2 linked regions of the Macaca fascicularis genome follow. The protein of the gene in region 1 binds, or shares a complex with, the protein of each later gene. Links are inferred from orthologs where the notes say so. Each region holds a gene or a part of one and is shown in the gene's direction. Other genes may lie near its edges.

Evidence for each region.
Region 2: the proteins of IL1A (region 1) and S100A13 are in contact, whole or in part, in an NMR structure (PDB 2L5X), measured with the Homo sapiens proteins. The link is inferred for Macaca fascicularis from reciprocal best matches to the Homo sapiens genes IL1A and S100A13. Residues at the interface, in NP_000566.3 of Homo sapiens: Asn148, Gln150, Tyr151, Thr194, Ala195, Gln196, Asp197, Leu203, Leu204, Lys205, Glu206, Met207, Gly216, Ser217, Glu218, Thr219, Asn220, His239; in NP_001019381.1 of Homo sapiens: Met1, Arg25, Gln26, Glu27, Gly28, Arg29, Lys30, Asp31, Ser34, Asp68, Ser69, Glu70, Lys72, Phe73.

What each region holds. Positions count from the first base shown.
Region 1 is NC_088387.1:19,783,789-19,788,454, reverse strand, and holds the start of IL1A (interleukin-1 alpha), read left to right. Parts: upstream 1-1,477; 5' UTR 1,478-1,528; intron 1,529-2,194; 5' UTR 2,195-2,202; coding exon 2,203-2,249; intron 2,250-3,208; coding exon 3,209-3,257; intron 3,258-4,137; coding exon 4,138-4,360; intron 4,361-4,666. UniProt on the Homo sapiens protein: Cytokine constitutively present intracellularly in nearly all resting non-hematopoietic cells that plays an important role in inflammation and bridges the innate and adaptive immune systems.
Region 2 is NC_088375.1:107,540,398-107,544,988, forward strand, and holds the start of S100A13 (protein S100-A13), read left to right. Parts: upstream 1-1,399; 5' UTR 1,400-1,532; exon of another isoform or gene 1,533-1,881; intron 1,882-2,488; 5' UTR 2,489-2,549; coding exon 2,550-2,702; intron 2,703-4,591. UniProt on the Homo sapiens protein: Plays a role in the export of proteins that lack a signal peptide and are secreted by an alternative pathway. Binds two calcium ions per subunit. Binds one copper ion. Binding of one copper ion does not interfere with calcium binding.

The sequences.
Region 1 (4,666 bases):
TATTTCTGCGGCTCTTGTTATAACTATTATAGCACCAGGTACATGACCAGGAGAATTAGACTGGCATTAAATCAGAATAAGAGATTTTGCACCTGAAATAGACCTTATGACATCTAACCAATCCTATTATTTATAATTAAACAGGAACAGAGGGAATACTTTATCCAACTCACACAAGCCGCTTTCCTCCCAGATCCATACTTTTTTGCTTTTCTATACCATGTTTTAGTGCCTTGCCTCTTTTTTTTTTCTCTCCCTCTTCTACCTTGTTCTTCCATCCATTTCCTTTGTTTGTTTGTTTGTTTGTTTGTTTTTTTAGAGATGGGGGCTTCACTACGTTGCCCACACTGGACTCGAACTCTGAGCCTCAAGTGATCGTCCTGCCTCAGCCTCCTGAACAGCTGGCACTACAGGGGCATGCCACCACACCTAGTTCATTTCCTTTATTTAAAATATTTATGGTTTAAACTCCACCTGGGAACATCCATTTGCTAAGAGTCTGGTGTTCTGCCACCTGAACTAGGCTGGCCACGGGAATTATAAAAGCTGAGAAATTCTTTAATAATAGTAACCAGGCAACACCATTGAAGTCTCAGATGTAAAAATCCATGCCTTCCTTTCTCCCAATCTCCACTCCCAAACTTAGCCACTGGCTTCTGGCTGAGGCCTTAGGCATACCTCTAGGGGCTTTCACACACCTTCTTCTACAGAAGACACACCTTGGGCGTATCCTACAGAAGACCAGGCTTCTCTCGGGTCCTCGGGTCCTCGGTAGAGGGCTACTTTACTGTAACAGGGTCAGGGTGGAGAGTTCTGTCCCGAAGCTCTGTCCCCTCTCTAGGAAATGTGTTGACAATATTCAGAGGAGTAAGAGGGTCAAGACTTCTTTGTGGTCAAATATCACTTTTCTCTTCTCTACCCTGACCTAACCGGGAGCTTGTCACCCCATACTCTGAAGTGATTTATGCCTTAATCAAACAAACTTCCCTCTTCAGAAAAGATGGCTCATTTTCCCTCAAAAGTTGCCAGAAGCTGCCAAGTATTCTGCCAATTCACATTCAACCTGGAGCACGACCAACAGATTCAGCCGGAACACAACTCCAGCTACTATTAGAACTATTATTATTCATGAATTCCTCTCCAAATCTAGCCCCTTGGCTTCTGATTTCAGGATTTCTCCCTTCCTCCTAGAAACTTGATAAGTTTCCTGCACTTCCCTTTTTCTAAGACTACACATTTGTCATCTTATAAAGCAAAGCAGTGAATAAAGGAACCAAGTCAATAACTTCTGGAATATCTGCAAACAACAATAATATCAGCTATGCCATCTTTCATTATTTTAGCCAGTATCAAGTTGAATGAACGTAGAAAAATACAAAACTGAATTCTTCCCTGTAAATTCCCCGTTTTGACGACGTACTTGTAGCCACGCCTACTTAAGACAATTACAAAAGGCGAAGAAGACTGACTCAGGCTTAAGCTGCCAGCCAGAGAGGGAGTCATTTCATTGGCGTTTGAGTCAGCAAAGGTATTGTCCTCACATCTCTGGCTATTAAAGTATTTTCTGTTGTTGTTTTTCTCTTTGGCTGTTTTCTCTCACATTGCCTTCTCTAAAGCTACAGCCTCTCCTTTCTTTTCTTGTCCCTCCCCGGTTTGGTATGTGACCTAGAATTACAGTCAGATTTTAGAAAATTATTCTCTCATTTTTCTGATAAGGACCGATTCGTTTTACTGAGAGATGGCAGAATTAGCTTCCTGTGAGGGCATGGGGTGAATACAACTGAGGCTTCTCATGGGAGGGAATCTCTACTACCCAAAATTATTGGGAGAAAATTGAACATTTCCAAGTCTGTCTCTCCCTTACCTCTGTGTAAGGGAAACACCTTATTCTTGTGGTGTTTCTGTAACCTCTTCAAACTTTCATTGATTGAATGCCTGTTCTGTGCAATACATTAGGTTGGGCACATAAGGAATAACAATATAAATAAAACATTCTAAAAGAAGTTTACGATCTAATAAAGGAGACAGGTACATAGCAAACTAATTTAAAGGAGCTAGCAGATGGAGAAAATGCTGAATGTGGACTAAGTCATTCAACAAAGTTTTCAAGAAGCACAAAGAGGAGGGGTTCCCCTCACAGGTATCCGGGTTAGAGGCTGGCTGAGCTGACTGTGGCTGGTGTTCTCTGTTGCAGAAGTCAAGATGGCCAAAGTTCCGGACATGTTTGAAGACCTGAAGAACTGTTACAGGTAAGGAATAAGATTTATCTCTTGTGATTTAATGAAGGTTTCAAGGCTCACCAGAATCCAGCTAGGCGTAACAGTGACCAGCATGGGGCCAGGCCGGCAGAGGCTGGAGGAATGTGTACTAGTTCTGAAGTCAGAGCAGGTTCAGAGAAGACCCAGAAAGACTAAGCATTCAGCATGTTAAACTGAGATTACATTGGCAGGGAGACCGCCATTTTAGAAAAGTTATTTCTGAGGTCTGCTGAGTCCTACATGAATTTCAGCATCAACTCAGACACAGCCTCTGTTGAGATCACATACCCTGATATAAGAATGGGTTTTACTGGTCCATTCTCAGGAAAACTTGGTCTCCTTCAGGAATAGGAAATGACTCCACAGCAAGCTGGGCATGTGAACGCAGATACGCAGGCAAATCTCACTCATATGTAGAAGAAAGGTAAATGAACACAAAGATAAAATTACAGAACAAATTAAACTAACATGATGTTTCCATTATCAGTAGTCAATACTAATGCAAACTAGGCTGTCAAAATTTTGCCTGGATATTTTACTAAGTATAAATTATGAAATCTGTTTTAGTGAATACATGAAAGCAATGTGTAACATATAATCTATTTGGTTAAAATAAAAATGAAGTGCTTCAAAACCTTTCTTTTCTCTTAAGGAGCTTAACATTCTTCCCTGAACTTCAATTAAAGCTCTTTAATTTGTTAGCCAGGTCTAATTTTTATAGATAAAGCACAGGTAAAGCTCAAAGCCTCTCTTGATGACTACTAATTCCATATTAGTAAGGTATGAATTACTCTACCTATGTGTATGTGTAGAAGTCCTTAAATTTCAAAGATGACAGTAATGGCCGTGTGTATGTGTGTGACCCACAACTACCGTGGTCATTAAAACACGTTGGCCAGAGACCAAAGTGAAATAACAAACAATTACATTCTCATCGTCTTATTTGGCAGTGAAAATGAAGAAGACAGTTCCTCCATTGACCATCTGTCTCTGAATCAGGTAAGCAAATGACTGTAATTCTCATGGGGCTGCTATTCTTACACAGTAGTTTCTTCATCAAAAGAGAACAGCAATGACTTGAATCTTAAATGCTTTTGTTTTACCCTCACTAGACGTCCAGAGACCTGTCTTTCATTGTAAGAGAGACCAGCTGCCTTATAAAGTTGATGTGCATTGGCTTCTCCCAGAACAGAGCAGAATTATCCCAAATCCCTGAGAACTGGAGTCTCCTGGGGCAGGCTTCATCAGGATGTTAGTTATGCCATCCTGAGACAGGCCCCGCAGACCGCTTCACCAGGGGTCTGTCTCCTAACATGATGTGTTGTGGTTGCCCTCTCTGACACCAGCATCAGAGGTTAGAGAAAGTCTCCAAACATGAAGCTGGGGGAGAGGAAGCAAGCCAATTGAAAGTGAGAAATCTACAGCCACTCACCAAGCTGTGTCATTGTGTTTGGAGACCACAAATAGACAGTATAAGTACTGCCTGGTATGTCTTTGGTACTGGCTTTAAAAGCTGTCCCCAAAGGAGTATTTCTAAAATATTTTGAGCATTGTTAAGTAGATTTTTAGCCTCCTGAGAGGGAAGTAATTGGAAAGCTACCACTCACTACAATCATTGTTAACCTATTTAGTTACAGCATCTCATTTTTGAGCATGCAAATATATGAAAAAGTCTTCCTAAAAAAATCATCTTTTTACCTTGGAAGGAGAAAGGAAGGTGAGACAAAAGGGAGAGAGGGAGGGAAGCCTAATGAAACATGAGTTACCTAAGACCAGAATGGAGATCCTCCTCACTACATCTGTTGAATACAGCACTACTGAAAGGACTTTCATTCCCTGACCACGAACAGCCTCTCAGTTTCTGTTTTCCTTCCTCTAGAAATCCTTCTATGATGTAAGCTATGGCCCACTCCATGAAGGCTGCATGGATCAGTCTGTGTCCCTGAGTATCTCTGAAATCTCTAAAACATCCAAGCTGACCTTCAAGCAGAGCATGGTGGTAGTATCAACCAATGGGAAGGTTCTGAAGAAGAGACGGTTGAGTTTAAGCCAGTCCATCACTGATAATAACCTGGAGGCCATCGCCAACGACTCAGAGGAAGGTAAGGGGTCAAGCACAATAATATCTTTGTTTCACAGTTATAAGTAAGTAGGGACAATAGAATTTAGGGGAAAATTAAACCTGGAGTCAGAATAACAAGAAGACAACCAAGCATTAGTCTGGTAACTACATAGAAAGAAAATTAATTTTTATCCTTCTCCAGGAGGGAGAGATGAGCAGTGGCCTGAATTGAGAATACTTGCTCACAGTCATTATTTCTTGGCCATACTGTAAAGGTCATGTGACTTTTAGCCTTTCAGGAGAAAGCAGTAACAAGACCACTTACAAGCTATGTTCCTCTCATACT
Region 2 (4,591 bases), on another chromosome or scaffold:
CACTTCCCCATATCTTGGGAGCTTCGCCTTGCCACCCCCAGACTCCCCAGAGACCTGAGCTCTTGGCAAGGCAGGGTGGGGGTGGCAGAGACTAAGGCTGGCAAGAGAGGTGGGGGCAGAAACAGCTGTTGTATCTGCTCTCTTCTTACCCCACAGGAGGCGAGGCAGGGGAGGGCTGGGGCCCTTCCCAACACCTGGGAGACAGAGGGGGCCTTGGCAGGGACTTGAGGGCTCCCTGTGGGAGGGCCAGGTGGCCAGGAAGCTCTTGGTGGGTTCCCCACTGACTTCCTCCTTTGCTGAGCTGCCAGCTCTCTCTCCGACCTTCAGTTCATTTGTCTCTCATCACCACCTTCCAAACCCTGTCTCCCCCAAATCCCAAACTGCCCTCACTCTGACTGACTCCTCCCAGATCCTTAGTGCCCCACAGTGCTATGGGCCCCAGCCTCTTGGAGCCCTTCTGAAGACCCCTCTCCCCGAAGCTGGCAGGCCAGGGACTAGCCCGGTGGGGCAGGGTACTCACCGTCGGCCTGGGCCTGAGGTGGGAGCAGGTTCTGGACAGATAGCCGAGGCTGCAAATGTGGCTGCTGGAGCTGTGTGTGGAGACCTGTCTTCAACAGTCCCTCCCCCGCTGACCCCCCCACCGACTCCACCCCTTCACAGACGAACACCCTGTGGGGCAAGGGGCCAGGAGCAGACAGAGGCGCCCTCTGTCTCCTGGGCTGGAACAGGCGGCCCTTGTCTCTTTCCCAGCCTTGCTTGCCCCGTTCCCTGCTCTTTAGGCAGCAGTGGATGGTGCAGGGGAAAGAGGTGGGAAGGAGGTCCTGGGAGGGATACTGGTTGTCTCACCCCAAGCCGGGCCTTGCAGTACCTGCAGCTGACTGTGCTGGTTGACCCGGGTAAGGGGGGAATTCTGCTGAGGGGGTCTTAGTCTGTGGCTCCTCCATGGGGCCTCACTGAGAGGACCCTCAGTGAGTAACTTAGTCTTGGGAGTCTGAGAACCCACAGAGGGATTTCAATCCAGGACTCTTCTATGGGGGTCTCAACCTGGATCCCCCTGTGTGTGTGGGGCCTCAGCCTGGGGTTCTCTGAGGGATCTTGGGCTGTAGCATCCTTTGTGGGGTTTCATTCTAAGGGGCCTCCGTGTATGTCTCAGATTGGGCCTCTCAGTGTTGAGCTCCCTCAATTGGTTTCCTCCCTCTTCCCCCCTCAGCATACACACTCCTGATTAGACGTGGGGTGTGGTGGCAGCAGCCCCCAGTATTGAAAGGACTAGGACCCTGGGACCCCTGCTGAATGAAATCTGTCCAGACAGCTCCTCTCCCTGACCAAGTGGGGGCGCTCGTGTGGCTGGCAGGGAGCCCGGGTCCAGGCCTGAGGGTTCAGGGCAAGAGGCCTGATTGGGCTGTCTCTGGTCTTCAGAATCCACCACGGAAATTTGACACCTCCGGGCTTGTAAGCAGCTGTCTCCTTCCCTGCTGCTTATAAACCTCAGCCTTGAGACTCCAGCTCACTCCACCCCATCTCCTTGCCCGGTAAGTCTCATTGCCGACCCTGGAGGGAGCCTGGAGATCATTTTTTCTTCCTGGGCTCCCAGGTCCCTCCCCCAGAGCCGGCTCAGACAGGAATTCAGGAAGCAGCTTTGGATGATCGAGCAACAGTGCATGCCGGAGTGCGTGACGGGGGGACGGAAAAGAGAATGCCTCTTCCAGCCCCACCCACCGCACCCCAGGGGGCTGTGAGTGCCTGTACTAAACCCGTCGTGGGGCAGGGAGTCAGAGACACCCCGTTCCAGGACCCTTATCTCCCGATGGGGAGACAGGAGCGGGGAGGATCTGTGGGGTCCTGGGTTCAGCACTCTGCCCTGCTGCCCTGAGGAGAGAGGTAAGGGTGGATCCCGGCAGAGAAAATCGGTCTGTTCAGACGGAGCCAGCTCTGACCACAGGGGACATTTGCCAGACCCTGTGCTTCTCTGCTGGGAGAAGCGGTCAGAGTGTGTGTGGGCGGATGCGGGTGGCTGAAGACCAGGTCCCAACATAAACAAGCTTTGGAGACAAACAACCTTGTGACCTGTGAGGCTGGGTGAGACAAGAAGGGACTCTTGAGACAGACAGGCCACAGAGGGGCCACCAGACTCGAAGGACTCCAGGAAGGACCCTTAACTGAAAACCTCCTCTCAAGTAGAGAGGTCTCTAGATCGAGGCATCACCACAGACGGGTCCCTAAGCCACAGACATTTAAAAAGGAGCCCAGATTGTGAGACCTACAGAAGAGGGGGTTTCTGGAGCCGAATCTTCTGCCCCCACCTAAACTGAGATGCTGTTGTCTGGTCTGCTGCCCCAAGCTCAACCCCTGTCCTCTCCCTCTTTCCCTATAATGCCCTCTCCAGGCCAAGACCTGATGCGGTAACACCAAGGCAGGGGCCTTCTGAACCATTCCTGCATCTTGGGGCTCCATGACTCTCCCTCTCTGCTCCTCCTCTGTTCCACAGGTCAGCCCTGACAAAGGTCAGCTAGCCCCTTGAGGACATCAGCTTTGGCCTCAGGGTCCTAATGGCAGCAGAACCACTGACAGAGCTAGAGGAGTCCATTGAGACCGTGGTCACCACCTTCTTCACCTTTGCTAGGCAGGAGGGCCGGAAGGATAGCCTCAGCATCAACGAGTTCAAGGAGCTGGTTACCCAGCAGTTGCCCCATCTGCTCGAGGTAGGCAGAGGTCTGGTACTGAGATTTTGTGAGACGGTGATTATGGGACACTGTGTTTAGGACGTGATGGTGCCGAGTATGATAATGTGACCACAAGAAAGGATGTGGGTAGCTGCATGTATAAATGGTTGCAGGTTTTATTTATTATTTTTTTTGAGACAGAGTCTCACTCTGTTGCCCAGGCTGGAGTGCAGTGTTGCGATCTTGGCTCACTGCAACCTCCATCTCCAGGGTTCAAGTGATTATCCTGCCTCAGCCTCCTGAGTAGCTGGGCTTACAGGTGTGTGCCACCACACCCAGCCAATTTCTGTATTTTTAGTAGAGACAGGGTTTCACCAGGTTGGCCAGGCTGGTCTCGAACTCCTGACCTCAGGTGATCCACCTGCCTTGGCCTCCCAAAGTGCTGGGATTGGTTTTCTTGCCTGGTGTGTATGTGTGTGTGTTTGTGTGTGTATGCATATAATTAGATAAGCAAAGATACTATGTGCCAGTGGAAGTATGGGTTTGTATTAGAAGATGCTGTTGGGTTCTTGTGTATGTTCTGTGCCTTTCTGGTCTAATTTCCCCAAGACAGAACTGGACCCAGAGCTGGCTTCCACGAGATTCACAGACTGTCACAGCTGGAAGGAGGCCAAGAGAAAACACAGTCCGTGTTCCTCACTTCACATATATAGAAACTGAGGCCTAGCAATGGAAAGAGGCTTATCAAAAATGAAAACACAGCCAAATTCATGGAGTCATAGATGTCAGTGTAGGGGGTCTGTGGGATGCATCTGTGAAGACTCCCCACTCGCTATGGGCATCCCCTTACTAGGGTGTAAGACAGAGTCATTCCTTCTCTCCCACTCACAGGCTGGAGTCAGGTCTTAAATTTCATTGACTCTGGGCTCGAAGAGGCCTGGTCATTCCAGGCTGTTGACAGTTTGTTTTACGTCTTTTCTGAAAATCCACAGGCACATTGAAGTGTGTGAATATGGACTCCTTGAACACAGTGAGTCTCTGAAACTCATGGTCTTTCATCTGCAAAATCCCCTACAACTTCCAACTTCTCAGATTTTATTTTTTTTGAGACAGTGTCTCACTCTGTTGCCCAAGCCACTGTGCGATCACAGCTCACTGCATCCTTGACCTTCCAGGCTCAGGCAATCCTCCTGCCCCAGCCTCACAAGTAGGTGGGACCACAGGCACATGCCACATTGCCTGGCTAATGTTTTCTTTTTTTGAGACAGTCTCACTCTGTCATCGAGGCTGGAGTGCAGTGGTGCGATCTCGGCTCACTGCAACCTCTGCCTCCTGGGTTCAAGTGGTTCTGTTGCCTCAGCCTTATGAGTAGCTGGGATTACAGGCAACCGCCACCATGCCCAGATAATTTTTATATTTTTAGTAGAGACAGGGTTTCACTATGTTGGCCAGGCTGGTTTCGAACTCCTGACCTCAGGTGATCCGCCCACCTCAGCCTCTCAAAGTGCTGGGATTACAGGTGTGAGCCACCGTGCCTGGCCTAATTTTTAAGTTACTTGTAGGGATGGGGTCTCTCTATGTTTCCCAAGCTGGTCTCAAACTCCAGGCCTCAACTGATCCTCCTTCCTTGGCCTTCCAAAGTGTTGGGATTACAGGTGTGAGCCACTGTGCCCAGTCAGACATTTCCTTTCATCTTTTTACTGGAAAATTCAGTTTCTCTCCTGAAGGGACAGCATTCCTTATATCCTTGTCAAGCAGTGACTTTTTTTTTTTTTTTTTTTTTTCCCTAAATTCAACTTCCTCTGGGCCTGGAAATGTAGGAAGTGACCTCTCTGCTTTGCATTACCTCTAGATTTTAGTTTCTTCTTCTTTCTAAGAGTTCCCAGCTCCTTGGAAGCTCATCTGCAACCTGCCATTCTTTTTATTGC